2 linked regions of the Arabidopsis thaliana genome follow. The protein of the gene in region 1 interacts with the protein of each later gene in a pairwise test. Each region holds a gene or a part of one and is shown on either strand. Other genes may lie near its edges.

The links.
Region 2: the proteins of SDG4 (region 1) and AL6 interact in a two-hybrid assay, tested with the Arabidopsis thaliana proteins (one large-scale study listed by BioGRID).

The regions. Positions count from the first base shown.
Region 1 is NC_003075.7:15,022,000-15,029,739, forward strand, and holds SDG4 (SET domain group 4), read left to right. Parts: upstream 1-2,444; 5' UTR 2,445-2,546; coding exon 2,547-2,900; intron 2,901-3,210; coding exon 3,211-3,357; intron 3,358-3,607; coding exon 3,608-3,772; intron 3,773-3,883; coding exon 3,884-3,910; intron 3,911-4,086; coding exon 4,087-4,201; intron 4,202-4,300; coding exon 4,301-4,394; intron 4,395-4,480; coding exon 4,481-4,574; intron 4,575-4,660; coding exon 4,661-4,739; intron 4,740-4,827; coding exon 4,828-4,999; intron 5,000-5,084; coding exon 5,085-5,165; intron 5,166-5,262; coding exon 5,263-5,428; 3' UTR 5,429-5,673; downstream 5,674-7,740. Other genes in the region: HHP2 (heptahelical transmembrane protein2), read right to left, coding at 53-279; MUS81 (Restriction endonuclease, type II-like superfamily protein), read left to right, coding at 6,587-6,780, 7,341-7,435, 7,532-7,610, 7,704-7,740. UniProt on the Arabidopsis thaliana protein: Histone methyltransferase. Involved in stamen development.
Region 2 is NC_003071.7:649,624-656,605, forward strand, and holds AL6 (alfin-like 6), read left to right. Parts: upstream 1-2,952; 5' UTR 2,953-3,213; coding exon 3,214-3,310; intron 3,311-3,484; coding exon 3,485-3,517; intron 3,518-3,698; coding exon 3,699-3,927; intron 3,928-4,512; coding exon 4,513-4,639; coding exon of another isoform or gene 4,640-4,713; coding exon 4,714-4,998; 3' UTR 4,999-5,362; downstream 5,363-6,982. Other genes in the region: LOV1 (NAC domain containing protein 35), read left to right, coding at 343-1,026. UniProt on the Arabidopsis thaliana protein: Histone-binding component that specifically recognizes H3 tails trimethylated on 'Lys-4' (H3K4me3), which mark transcription start sites of virtually all active genes.

The sequences.
Region 1 (7,740 bases):
TTACAAATTTTCAACCAAGGGAAAAAAAAATCAGAAGAAAACGAAAACATACGTCCAGATGTTGAGAGTCTCATTGTGCCATGAGAAAGCGCTGAGGAAAGTTTCTTTGATTGACCACTCACATCGATAATGATTGTGTATGAACTCGTTATCTTTCAAATACCTAGGTAACTCCTCGAACTTCATCAATCTCTTCTCAGATCTCTTCTTTTCGCCGGAATCCATACCTTTACCATTTCTTATCTTCGTAGATTCCTTCACCGTTCTCCGTTTCTGCATGATTCCCCTCCCTCTCTCGCACAGCTCGTCGGGGGGAAAAGGAGGAGAAATCTAGCTACGAAATTGAACTCCGGCGAATCACCCACCACCGTAGATTTCTCTCTTCTTCTTTTTATTTTCAGTATTTGAGAATCTGATTTGTTTTTTTTCGATCTTCGTGGTATGCTTCGTCGCCTACTTATACGGAGATGAAACCTCTTTGAATTTTAAAAACGAGCAAGCTTCGTGACTTTTATCTACGTAGCGTCTTTGACCGGTCTTTTTTACACGTGTCTCTTCCTTATTAGTATGTTAGTTTCGCCTTAGTGTGAGGGAGGATACACCTGATTATTTTTACCCGCCGTGTCAATTTGAAACAAATATTAAAGTTACAGTTGGAAGGTGAGAAATGCAGAATTTGTGGGTCTCTGTTTAAACCTATAGTCTATAATTATTAAATCGAGAACTTTGTTTTTACCCCTCAAGATTTTTTTGTTGCCTGACCCTTAATAACATTGTTGAGTAACTAAAACATATATTTTCGTTTCATTTATACGTTTCCTAAATGATTTGATAATATGGGGAGTGTTGATCAAAACAGATTAAACGAACGAGGTAAATTGAAAGAGTAGGTAACTTTTTATTGGCTTTATGGCATAAGATTCTCCAAGGAGGGTTGATTCATAAGACAAGACAACACGTACATACATATCTATATTTAATTGGTATGAACATGGATTATGTTATTGATTTATTTAAAACGCGTCAAACAATTGGATATAATAATTAAAAACTGAATGAATGGTTCGCTTACCAAAGCAAAATATAGTTGGCCCAGAATTCGATGTTGGCATGTTACGACTACATTGCTACATTGTTATCATCAATGTTTCAGATTATTTTTAATTTGTACTTTCATAGTAATTCACCGCAATGAACGATGAGGAACCATCGAATCGGACTAAACGAGGGTAACAAATTTTGAGTAGTAAAGTGTAGTAACAACAAATGAGTGAACAAAAATCGAATGGAACCGTACGAATATAGTAATAATTTTTGTTGTTCGCCTGCTGAATCTCAAATGATAACCTTTAGGATCTTTTTAGCAAATGATAATCAGTTTGTAATCTAGATTTATTTGGAGTTCTTCATTTTAAAATCAAGATAACGTGGATCCGGTTTGATCCGGTCTAATTCAAATTTCATAATATAAATACAAGAATATTTCAACATTAGCCTAAAAATACATTAAAGAAAAGAGTGTAGTATTTTCAAAAGATTTGTTGTATATCATACAAAATGAATGTATATTGTTTTGTGTATAATTATATACAAAGTTGTCGTGAAGTGAACATATATTCTAGTTTGCTTAGTTGGTCCGTTTTTCATCTAAATCGATTCTTAGACGCCATAATTTCTTGCTAAGAGGATTAAGTATAAACTATGTGTACATGGATGAGTAAATTCTTTGGATTATTTAACGATTACTCATTATCTTTGTAAAGTGTATAAAGAAAGGTGAGTATTGCGTGGTGAACTGTGGAAACCTAGACTCAAAGATCAATACTTTATTAGATTTTGTTGCTAAATATGGTCTAACAAAGCAATTTACGCTAGGTATTTTGTTTGAGTATAGTAATCAAATGAAAACTGAATTATCGAAATTTAGACAATAGACACTAACGAAATGAAAAAAAAAAACGAAATTAAGATGTTATACAAACTGATTAATCCATTTATCTTTCACTAGATGAAATCATAGATCATTTTTCGTGAGTCTGTAAAGATGTATGATAAAAAAAAGAGAGTAATTAATTAAAACATACCTAGAAAGCATATAATTTGATTTAAGTTGTGACATAACGAACCTAAAATGACATGTAAACATATCCAAAAACGAAAACGAAATATCTTGTTTATAACTAACAAACCGAACACTGATCAATACGATATACTTTCAAATCATGATTTGATTAATTTTAGCTATTTGTTCAGTTCCGTTTTGGGAACCGGCATTAATCATTGCGTGTAGCACTGTTATTGGTAGATATGAATGTGGGGGATTTTAGTTGGTAAAGAAATTTAACTAGCAGAAAAAATGTTTGGGGGCAATTAAAACAATATTTAAAATACAAGGACCTTTTTGTATAATATTTTAGGACAAATCTCCCGCCTTAAATTCCCTCCATATTTTTTCATGTCTCTTCGCTTTTCGCCTACCCAACAAAGACAAAACGTAACTGTCTTCTTCTTCTTACTCTTCCATCTTTTGTACTTTCGAGTTTAGGATGTTAGATCTGGGAAACATGTCTATGTCTGCATCTGTTGCTCTCACTTGTTGCCCTTCTTTTCTTCCGGCGGCTTCAGGCCCTGAATTAGCCAAATCTATCAATTCCCCGGAAAATCTAGCCGGAGAATGCAATGGGAAACATTTACCAATGATTCCACCGGAGGAAGAGGTCAAGGACATTAAAATTGCTAATGGAGTCACTGCTTTTACCCGGAAACAGAATCCGTCTGACAGAGTCAAGAAAGGGTTTGTCTTGGATGATCATGTGAAGGATTGGGTCAAGAGAAGAGTGGCTTCTGGTGTTTCAGAGTCGACATGTTTCCTTCCTTTTCTTGTTGGTGCCAAGAAAATGGTATGTTGTTTGTTATGTCAAATTAATGACTTGTGAAGTTTTTAGATTTATTGACATATAGACTACATGGGATTTGGATTTTAGGATATACATAATATCTTGAGTTATGAAGTTTGTTTGAAGTATATTGCATCTGTGAATTGAATTCATCACCTTTTTTTGGCTTTAGTGATGTCCGTGTAAGATCTCATATTCATTTAGATATTGTTTGACTACTAGTTTACTTTTAAAGTCATTCGAATCTTCAAGTCAATTAGTGACTAAGTTATTAGATTTATTGACATAATGACTATATGGGATTTGGTGTCAGGTTGATTGTCTTGTTTGCCATAAGCCGGTGTACCCGGGGGAAGACTTATCGTGTTCTGTTCGCGGCTGCCAAGGCGCTTATCACTCGCTTTGTGCGAAAGAAAGTCTTGGTTTTTCTAAGTCAAGCAAATTTAAATGCCCTCAACATGTAAGATCCTCATTTATTGTTTAGAACTAAGGAAGATTTCTCTTCATTTTTATTGGCTGGCTTTGTATTCAATGAAGCAAATCATATTTTGTTGCTCTTATTTTTGGTAGAAATGCTCAGAGAGACGATAGGCCATCAAATAGGATATACTTAACAGTTAGTTCTAAGTAATAGTGTTTAGGTAGGGAATTGAAATGGATTATTTTGATTGTGTGGTATCATTCAGTTTCTGATAGAATGGAGTATGCAGGAGTGCTTTGTCTGCAAGCAAAGAACACAATGGCGGTGTGTTAAGTGTCCAATGGCTGCTCATGATAAACATTCTCCATGGTCAAAAGAAATACTTCACTTAAAAGACCAACCAGGAAGAGCAGTTTGTTGGAGGCATCCAACTGATTGGCGGCTAGACACAAAGGTTGATTTTTTAGTTTACCGCTTTCATAAGATACTTCTTGAAGCTTCTTACGATTTGTACTTTCATAGAGTTTTACTCACAGGACTGACAAAATCTCTGTTGATTGAGCAGCATGCAGTTGCACAGAGTGAGATTGAGGTCAGTGTTTCTTTGCCACGTGCCAAATGTGACTGTAGTAAAGGAAACTAATTCTTACATAGACTTGCCGCTCGAAAATCAAAAAGAGGGAAGAGATTTGAAAGCTGGATATTTTGTTTTTATCTTACACAATTTCAAGAGCTAGGCACTGAATGTTTATCTACTTTCTTATTCAGGAAGTCTTTTGCCAGTTGCCTTTGCCATATGTGGAAGAGGAGTTTAAGATTGACTTAGCATGGAAAGATTCTGTTGTGAAGGAAGATCCGCCTTCTTATGTGCACATTAGACGCAGTATCCTTTATAGTTTCCACATTCAATATTTCTGCCTTAAAAGTACATAATTCTCATTTTTTCACAACATTAGTGTGTCTTTTCCTTGACTGAGTTAAGATATTTACCTCGTTAAGAAAAAGCGTGATAATGCTAATGATGGTGTTGGGTGCACAAATTGTGGCCCTAATTGCGATAGAAGCTGTGTTTGCAGGTATATTTGTTAATTAACCAAACAAATTTTCTCTGTTAACATTCATTTCGTTTTGAATAGTTTCCGTTTTGAAAAATTTCTCTCAGGGTTCAATGCATAAGCTGTTCAAAGGGATGCAGCTGTCCTGAAAGTTGTGGAAACAGACCATTCCGCAAAGAGAAAAAGATCAAAATTGTTAAGGTAAAACTAGTCTCTAGTTTATGATTCTTGCATTACACTCTTCTTGTGTTTTTTTATCTTGACATGTCATGTTATTGGTTTTACAGACTGAACATTGCGGTTGGGGAGTTGAGGCAGCAGAATCAATCAACAAAGAGGACTTCATTGTCGAATACATTGGTGAAGGTAAACTATCTTGATTTGGTCTTTGAGCCTTATGTTTGTGGTGGAAAGCGACAGAGTTTTTAGTGATTTGTTTTCACTCTATCCACAGTGATTAGTGATGCTCAATGTGAGCAAAGGCTTTGGGATATGAAACACAAAGGCATGAAAGACTTTTACATGTGTGAGATTCAAAAAGACTTCACGATTGATGCTACCTTCAAAGGGAACGCCTCTCGGTTTCTGAACCACAGTTGCAACCCAAACTGTGTATTGGAAAAGTGGTAAAGCATATATTATTTCATATAAATATGTCGATGATGCTCGAGTAAGAGAGCATGAGTCAGTTTGATTATTTTGTTCTAACAGGCAAGTTGAAGGTGAGACCCGTGTGGGTGTCTTTGCAGCTCGTCAAATAGAAGCAGGAGAGCCACTTACATATGACTACAGGTCAAGTTCTTGACCATTTGTTTCTTTTATGTGCTTATAATTAGCCTAAGTAATCTGAGATTCTGATATATTAGCTTCTCTCTTTGTGTAATGGCAGATTTGTGCAGTTTGGTCCTGAAGTAAAGTGCAATTGTGGTTCTGAAAACTGTCAAGGTTATCTTGGGACAAAGAGGAAAGAACCAAACTGTTTGGTTGTATCTTGGGGAGCAAAACGCAGAAGATTGTTTCACCGACCTATAGCCCGTAAACCGCAGCAAGATTAGCTGCAAAATATCTATAAACAATGTGCTTTGATAGTTTGTCTGTTGTCGTTATCTAGTAATCTCTGTGGAGATATAGAACCAATCGTGCTTGTAACCGAAGCTTAGGCCCACAATTGTATAACTGCTAGCTGAAGCCACGGGATAGACCGGTCGGTTATACCATACATTCTTTCAGTTCCATTACAACACAATTATTATTTAACCCTTGTCAAATTTGAATCTGATTTAAGAAAATACATTCCCTTAAAAAAAACTATCTAAAGATCTCGCACTATCATGGCAGAAAATTCGACAGAACAAATTTTTTGATATAACCAAACAGAAGAAAACAAATTATATAAAGACTACAATCATATTACAAAATCGCTATAGCAATCTAAGTATCAAGTTTCATCATGTGACTGGTTTCGCTCTGCCTTGAGCTCATCAGGTGATCGAGTTTCAGATCACGACCAGTTGATTAAGGGTCGGCCTAGTCCCCTTTTTTTGTTTTTATTACAGAAAATACAAAAGTTACAGAGAATACAAGGTCGGGTTGCAGATCACGACGTTACGGATCATCGTGGAATGTGGGTAGAAAGACTCATAAGACTCCATGAATTCGATATGTACCTCAATGGTGCGAGGATCAGGTTTCGGGATACGTCTTTGTTGTTGTTGAAGTTTCTCGACTTTGTTGTTTGATGAAAATATGAAATTAATGTATTATTGATAGATAAGTAAACAACAAAATAGTAAAACCCAAAGATGAACCAAGTGACAAATTGTGACAACTACATGGTAGCTATCCTAATTATCGAACATAAATTTTTCATCAAAAGTCTTTAACGAACCAAGTGAATGACATGTTTCAAAGTCGAATACTAATTATTGTACTGGTTTAAAAGATTTGTTCCAAATTGATATGATTTAAACCAGAAGTCTCCGTATGAAACGGAGACTTACTCTTCGGCAAGAGAAGGTTTTAGTCAAAATCCCCATTTTTTAAAAATTCTCAACAAAACGCCTAAAAACTGAAAGTGCTTATTCCTCTTCTCCGGCGAACCAAAGATCAAACCTTTGCGAGAGAATTTCCCTCTTTTTCGGCAACGAGTATATCCAATCAGCAAGGAATTTTATGATCGCTTGATAAATTGAAACTATTTGGAGTGGGTAGTGATGGATGACGAGAGACGGGTACTGTGCCCTGAGAACCGAGGTTTAGCGGCTTATGTGTTGCAGAAGAAGCAAGAATACGCAGAAAAGCCCAAAGGCTTGTCGGAAAATCTGGAGAGGACATTTGTTAAGGGGTATAGGAGTGTCTGCGACGCCAAGGATCCCATTAACACACTCAAAGACTTGTCGCAGATCAAGTATGTTTCTTGCTTTCTTTCGCTCCTCTTTTCTCCTATGGAATTTGGTTTTCTACTCTTCTTATTGGGATATGGGTTATTGGGTCATTGGTTTCTTGTTTGAGGTGCCCTTTTTTCGCAATGGTGGAAAAAGATGTGACCTTTTTGTGTTTCTGGTTCGAAATTCTCCCCCTTTTCAGTATTGAGTGAATGGTGGAATGAATTTAGCGACTAAGAAAGTAATAAGATGCTCCTCGGTATATCAATTGTATCTTTATTACCTACAGTTCACATACGTTTTTGGTTCCCGTTAATTCAGGCTTTGGCTAAGGGTTTGTGTTTGTTTTATCTGAAGTTGAAGTCATGTAGATAAAATTAGACAATATGCGTGTTTCTTATCCTTGTGAAATCAGTGAATCTGATAGTGAGTGGTTTCTTTGTTTCAAGGGCAAGTGTTTGTTTATATTCATTTTAGTTTCTTAAGCCTTTTTAAATGCAAAGCTGATCTGATTGTGAGTGGTTTTAATTTTTTGGGTGGCTTTGCTTCTATCCAACCAAGTGTCTGTTTCTTGATTGCATAGGGGCTTTGGCAAGTGGATGGTTAAGCTCATGAAAGGATATTTTGATACTGCTGTTGAAAGTTCTGAGCAAGAAGATTTACCTGATAATCGTGCTGGTAGTGGTGTTGGGCTGTTGGCTGTATCTATATCACATTGTACACATGTATTATCAATGTAATGTCTTTATGTATGCTGATTTTTAACCTGTCCAGGGAAAAAGGCCAATGGAAAAAAACGGTACATTCCGCAAAGAAATTCAGTGGGATATGCATTACTAATAACGTTGCACAGGTTAGTTACATGTTTATGTTACTCACAAAATACTCTTTCTTTCCCCTCTGTAAACCCTTCTTCAGTACCGTTTTTGTTTTTTCGTGTTACCAGAAGGACTACAAATGGGAAAGAATTCATGCGTAAACAA
Region 2 (6,982 bases), on another chromosome or scaffold:
TGCATAAGACAGCTAAAACAACAGGGTTGACATAATTATCTATGTGTATGTATTGCACATTCACTTGTACTAATAAAACTAAAATTACGCAATTAAATATATAAAAAATAATAAATATAATCATCTTAATTATATTTGCATTGTTACGTCATATGATAGTACTCTAAATTTCTTCTAAACGTGCTATCTTTTTTTGCTAATGCTAACTTTACATAGTTTGTGAATCTTCTTTCAAAACCATATCTTCGATAAATGATATTTTTCATAGATATTGTTAGTCTATATTTGATAATTTGATATATGTATCAAGTCTCTAATCAATGTGCTCATGTATAATTATAGGCTGAAATATCATTGTGCCGAGTGTACAAAAGGCCAGGAGTAGAAGATCATCCATCGGTACCACGTTCTCTCTCCACAAGACATCATAACCATAACTCATCGACATCATCCCGTTTAGCCTTAAGACAACAACAACACCATTCATCCTCCTCTAATCATTCCGACAACAACCTTAACAACAACAACAACATCAACAATCTCGAGAAGCTCTCCACCGAATATTCCGGCGACGGCAGCACAACAACAACGACCACAAACAGTAACTCTGACGTTACCATTGCTCTAGCCAATCAAAACATATATCGTCCAATGCCTTACGACACAAGCAACAACACATTGATAGTCTCTACGAGAAATCATCAAGACGATGATGAAACTGCCATTGTTGACGATCTTCAAAGACTAGTTAACTACCAAATATCAGATGGAGGTAACATCAATCACCAATACTTTCAAATTGCTCAACAGTTTCATCATACTCAACAACAAAATGCTAACGCAAACGCATTACAATTGGTGGCTGCGGCGACTACAGCGACAACGCTAATGCCTCAAACTCAAGCGGCGTTAGCTATGAACATGATTCCTGCAGGAACGATTCCAAACAATGCTTTGTGGGATATGTGGAATCCAATAGTACCAGATGGAAACAGAGATCACTATACTAATATTCCTTTTAAGTAATTTAATTAGATCATGATTATTATCCATGACAATAATTATTAATGCTGCTTTGCCATATTTTCATACTCCTTATATATTGTTATGGCGATAGACAATGATTGATTACTGCGAGTTTATGTAATGGAACTGATTCTCAACATATATAGTCAATTAAGTAGTTTTTTTTTTCTTGTGTTAAAGTTAATTTCTTTAAGCTAGATTCAACGTAGTTAAAAAAAAAAAATTCACTGTAATATATGAATACAAAATGACTAAGGAGTGCAATCCGTATCAAAAGTTCTCAAACAAACCAAAGAAGAAATAAACTTATTGGATTAGATTTTCATGTACGAGCCCTAACCGAAACCAGACTAAAACCAAACACTAACTAAACCATAACAATAGTAACCGTAAATCCAACCTAGTGATATTTAATTTGGTCTTCATTCCATTTCAAAATTTCAAATTGAATGTTGATATTTTTTGTTGTTTATTCATCACTTATTAGAATTCATTTTGCATTGTCATTTACATGCATTAGATCCAAGATGTTTAATTTTAGTTACCTGTTAGTGCGACTTTATAGATAAACAATCCACTAACTCTTAAGAATTCAACAACTAATTTTGAGATAGAAATATATAAAGATAAAAGATGTTAGCTAGTTTTTTGTCTTTGTAAATATAAGACTAATTAGGGTTTGACAAAAAAAAAAAGCATAGGACGTGCAATATTTGGTAAGAGCAGTTGTTCCCGTGATTTTGTCAGATATGACCAGCATGAACAGTTGTATGTTGTAAGAAATCAGTTCCCTTTTTCTCAATGAGAAAAACAAATTTAAACTTGACTTAACTCTCATACTAGTCTTTTTAATCCTAATTATTAACAATCTTTAATAATATATGTAATGTGGCAAAATCCTAATATATACTGACTTGAATATGATACGAAAGTACTAATTTTAAAGTTTTTTCCCTTTCTAACCGGTCGATGTAACCGTATTTGCATGTTTTCTTAGATTATTTTAAATAATATATGTCTATCACCTATATTAGTAAGTATATATTCATAGATTATAGTTGATTTTGCCCAAAGAAAAAAGAAGATTATAGTTGATTATACCACATCATTGATATTCTGTGACGAATTAGATTACAGTTGCGGTAAACGTATTCGCTAGCTAGTACGACGTGCTTAACGCAAAAATATTCAAAGATAACGAATCCGATTAATATTGGTTCGTTTCTTAATTCTTACATCTAGAATCACACATAAAAACAATAAAATAATTAAAAATTTGATGAATTTTTTATTTTTTTGAGTGATAAAAGGCAAAATGTTTTCCGTTTTTTAGTAGCTTTCTCTTTCAAAATATCTATTTCTGGTGTATATCGTGAAAAAAACTTTCAAAATACGTGAATGTGATGATCGTTGAAAACTTCAAATCTCATTTCCCCTAGGTTACTATAAAAGCCCACTATCCTTTAATGGGCCAGGCATGCTATTTCTGTACAATACAAGATGGACCTGAATGTTTTAACTTTTAACTTTTATCTTTAAGGTCAAGTTAATTGAAAACAAAAACCAAATTTGTGGATCAATTTGGATGCCTCAGCCTACGTATAAAAACATGTTTTTTTTTCGTAATATTAATGGAAATGAATATGTTAAAAAAAAAAAATACATGTTTTTTTCGTCGACACTTTTAAAAATAAAATAAAATTTAAATAAATGTCTTTGACCAAAATAAAAATAATGTAAAATTTGGGAGTGGGGAATGTAGCTCGGAAAAAAATAGGGTATGTAGATCGGAATTAATAAATAGATTTTATATTATTACATAAACAATAATAAAATACACAATGTTGTCTTTATTTAATTAATACAAAAATAATAAAATAGACAATGTTGTCTTTATTAATATTACTTCTCAGCCCCAAAATTAATCTTTGATCGGTCCCTTTTGTTTTATCGTTTTAGGGTTTGTAGCTCCTTTCTCTTTTTTTCTTTTCTCAATTTCCCCCAAATTAAAAAAAAACTCTCTCTTTCAGAGATTTACAAATTTCATTTCTCCAAATCCGAAACCCCAAAGTGAATATTTTTCCTTCTGGGTTTCTTTTGTTTGCCTGGAAACATTTGTCTCAGATTTTGATTTTGACCGGAGTACTCATATTCTCCGGCGATTTCTCCGGCGACATCGTTTGTGAAATGGAGGGAATTACTCATCCAATACCTCGTACTGTTGAAGAGGTCTTTAGCGACTTCAGAGGTCGACGAGCTGGTCTTATTAAAGCTCTCACTAATGGTCAGTTTTGGTCTGATTCTTGTTTCTCACTTGCGAATCAGAATGATAAGTATCTACAGAGTTACGATTTTGTGGCATTTGGGTTTTTCATTTGTTAAAAAAGAAGAACTTTTTTTATTTTGGGTTTCTTTTGTGAGATTTGACGATTCTGGGTTTTGTGTTTTGTTTATGCAGATATGGTGAAGTTTTACCAAACGTGTGATCCTGGTGAGTTATTTCTTCACAACTTTTAAAAAATTAGTCTTGCTTAGCTTCTATAGTTTCTAGTGAAATGTTTTGTTGAAGTTGTTGAGCTTGTATGTTGTTGAATTGTGTTGGTTAAAGATTGAGTTAGTTAGTCCTCCTCTGTGTGGTTTTTCTTTAAGGTGTTTCATTCTTGTTTATGTAGAGAAGGAGAATTTGTGTCTCTATGGACTTCCAAATGAGACATGGGAGGTTAATCTACCCGTTGAGGAAGTTCCTCCTGAGCTTCCTGAACCAGCTTTAGGCATCAATTTCGCTAGAGACGGAATGCAAGAAAAGGACTGGGTATCTTTGGTCGCAGTTCACAGTGATTCATGGCTGCTTTCTGTTGCATTTTACTTTGGTGCACGTTTCGGATTTGGCAAGAATGAGAGGTAAGGGTCCTTCTCAAGCTCAGTGTTTTTGAGTGTTGCATCTCAATTATGACAATATTGGGTGTACTCATGTGTGGTAAGGTTATAATGATCATTCTAGCATCCTCTTGTTTTGTCTATTTGTCTGATACAACAATCTCTGTGTGGATTTTTGTAACTCACGTGATCTTATTTATAGGGTCGGTTTCTGTGTAACTCTTTTTGTAAGTGGTTCCCAGTTTCTATTTTGAAGTGACTAGAGTTATGAATCGCACCAATCTGGATCAATGTTATTGAGATAGATATATTAGTCAATAGATGTGATATGTGCCTCTAAGTCTGATTAGTACTTCTTGTATTAGTCTTGTGCAGGATCACTGTAATTAGCCTAGGTAGTTTCCACTGCATTGTACCTTTGTTGAGAGCTCAGCAACAATCACTGAATCCATTATTTGATACTGGTAGCTGACAGGTTAAACGAAAAGCTTGAGCAGAATGAGTTGTTGATTCTGAATCTCATCAAATTCTTCTCTGGCATTAGGTTTGTTTGAACAACTTAGCTATCACTTGCCTTTAAGCTTATGCCATGGACCGATTCTTTTTCAGGAAGAGGCTGTTCCAGATGATTAATGAGCTGCCAACCATTTTCGAAGTTGTGAGCGGCAATGCAAAGCAGTCCAAGGATCTATCTGTTAACAACAATAATAGCAAAAGCAAACCTAGTGGCGTCAAGGTATCTCTTCTGTTTCACCATTTTGTTTTATCAATCTCTGCTAAGTTTTATCTCTTTGTATTCCTCACAAACAGTCTCGCCAATCCGAATCTCTCTCAAAGGTTGCAAAGATGTCATCTCCACCGCCAAAAGAAGAAGAAGAAGAAGAAGATGAGAGTGAAGATGAGAGTGAAGACGATGAACAAGGTGCGGTTTGTGGTGCTTGTGGAGACAACTACGGTACAGATGAGTTCTGGATTTGCTGCGACGCGTGTGAGAAATGGTTCCATGGAAAATGTGTGAAGATAACACCTGCAAAAGCAGAACACATCAAGCATTACAAATGCCCAACTTGCAGTAACAAGAGAGCTAGACCTTGAAGTTAAATAACCAAATTATGAAAAGGTAAAGCGAGTTAGGAGAAAATTATGAAAGAAGAAGGTGAAGTTTCCAGTTTATAAGAAATGCCAGTAAAAGGGACTTAGAAGATGTAAGCAGGTAAAAAAAAAAATTGTATTGCTTAGTCTTTATTGTTGGATTGAGACTATCTACAGTTGGTGATGTCTTTTCTTTTCTTTTTTTGGATTTTTGTTGTTGTTAATGTTAATTCTACTACTAATTTGTTTGGTCTGTTTAAGATATTTTAGTTCTGATTAGTAATTTTTTTTTTTTTTTTCTGATTAGTAATTTGCTAAAATTGTAAAAACTATTATGTCGTTATGTAGTCTTTTTATTCATCTTTTATCTTACTCTCTCTTTTATTTAGCTATTTATTTTGTTTCATATGATTGGTAGTTAAGTTGATTATATCACCATATATTATGAAATTGGTATTGGTCAAAAGGTATCAGTCAGGATTAATACTTCTAATTTTTTTTAAAACTGTTTCATTATTGTCAAAAAGAAAAACTGTTTCATTTGAAAAAATGGTTCAAGTATTAATTATCTAATACTTCTATTGTTTTTTCATAGTGCAAATATACATTGCCATCAATCTTGTTGTCTTTTGAACTTTTGCTATATATATAAAAAAAAAGATTGAAGTTGATAAATTATGACAGCCCAAATTATTACTTGACTAGATCTATTTGAGCCCAATGTTAGACAAGGATGTGTGTTTGGGCATGTAGCTTATATATCATGCCACTCATTTATTAGTTTACTTTTTTTTTTTTGGGTAATATGACTATCTATCCTCAGAATAATGATAATTAACTGACAAAAAAAACACCGTTGTCTTCTACTATTTTAATTTTATGACAATTATACCCCTAAATTAATTAAACTAAAAATAAAAGGTTCGATGAAACATTAGTACGTTAAATGAAACATTTAGTACGTTCAAATAAATATTATCCATATATCGATTATCTTACCGTGTTAAGACAAATATTATTTCGATATTTAGTATGTTACCATGTTATTATTCATATATCGATTATCTTACCATGTTGAGACAACTATTATTTCGATATTTAGTATGTTAGCATGTTATTATTCTATGTAAAATGTTATTATAATCGTTATCATTTTAATTATATAACATGATGTATTTTTATTGTGTTGATATATATAAAAATAATAATATTGATTCATAATTTTAAATCGATAAACATTTATTTAACATAGAATATGTAAATTTACCACGTTATTATATATGTTAGCTTGCTAAACAAATAGTTATATACTTATTTTTAAATATTAAAGTTATTTTGAATCGATGATATTTTTGTAATTAATCTAAACAAGAAGGATATTTCTAGTTTATATTTTATTTCTCTTGTCTATTTACCTAAATAACAGATTTTTATGTATAAATTCTTAATATTTTGTTTATTTTGTTCATCCATGTATATATTTTTAACTCACCCTTTTTTCCCTCCATTTATTAGTTTACTATATTTTTATGGATTTAAACATAATTTTTGCTCATTGACAAAAAAAACATAATTTTTGCTTTTCATAAATTATCTAAAGGGACACAAGTGTGTGTGTCATTCTCATGCATTATGCAACATATTCTCAACATGCAAAGGCTAATCTTGGATACATTAACTTTTAATTAAGATACACTCCCCAAGTTAAATTTTATTTAATATTTTTCTTCCTCTTGCATATATTATTAACTTTTTCTTATGTAATAAAAATTGTCTAACCATTTTCATTTTGCCAATTAAAGTAGTGTTATGTTCTAGGTCCATTATAAAATTTCGCGAGTGTATTATTCGACAGCTACATTCACCCAAAAAGATTAATCTTTTGATAAAAGTTTGGATTACTAGTTGATTATAAAATAACTAAATAACTAAAAGTGATGAAATAGGATAAAGTGAAGTTTTAAAAAAAAAATTATGAACAAGATAA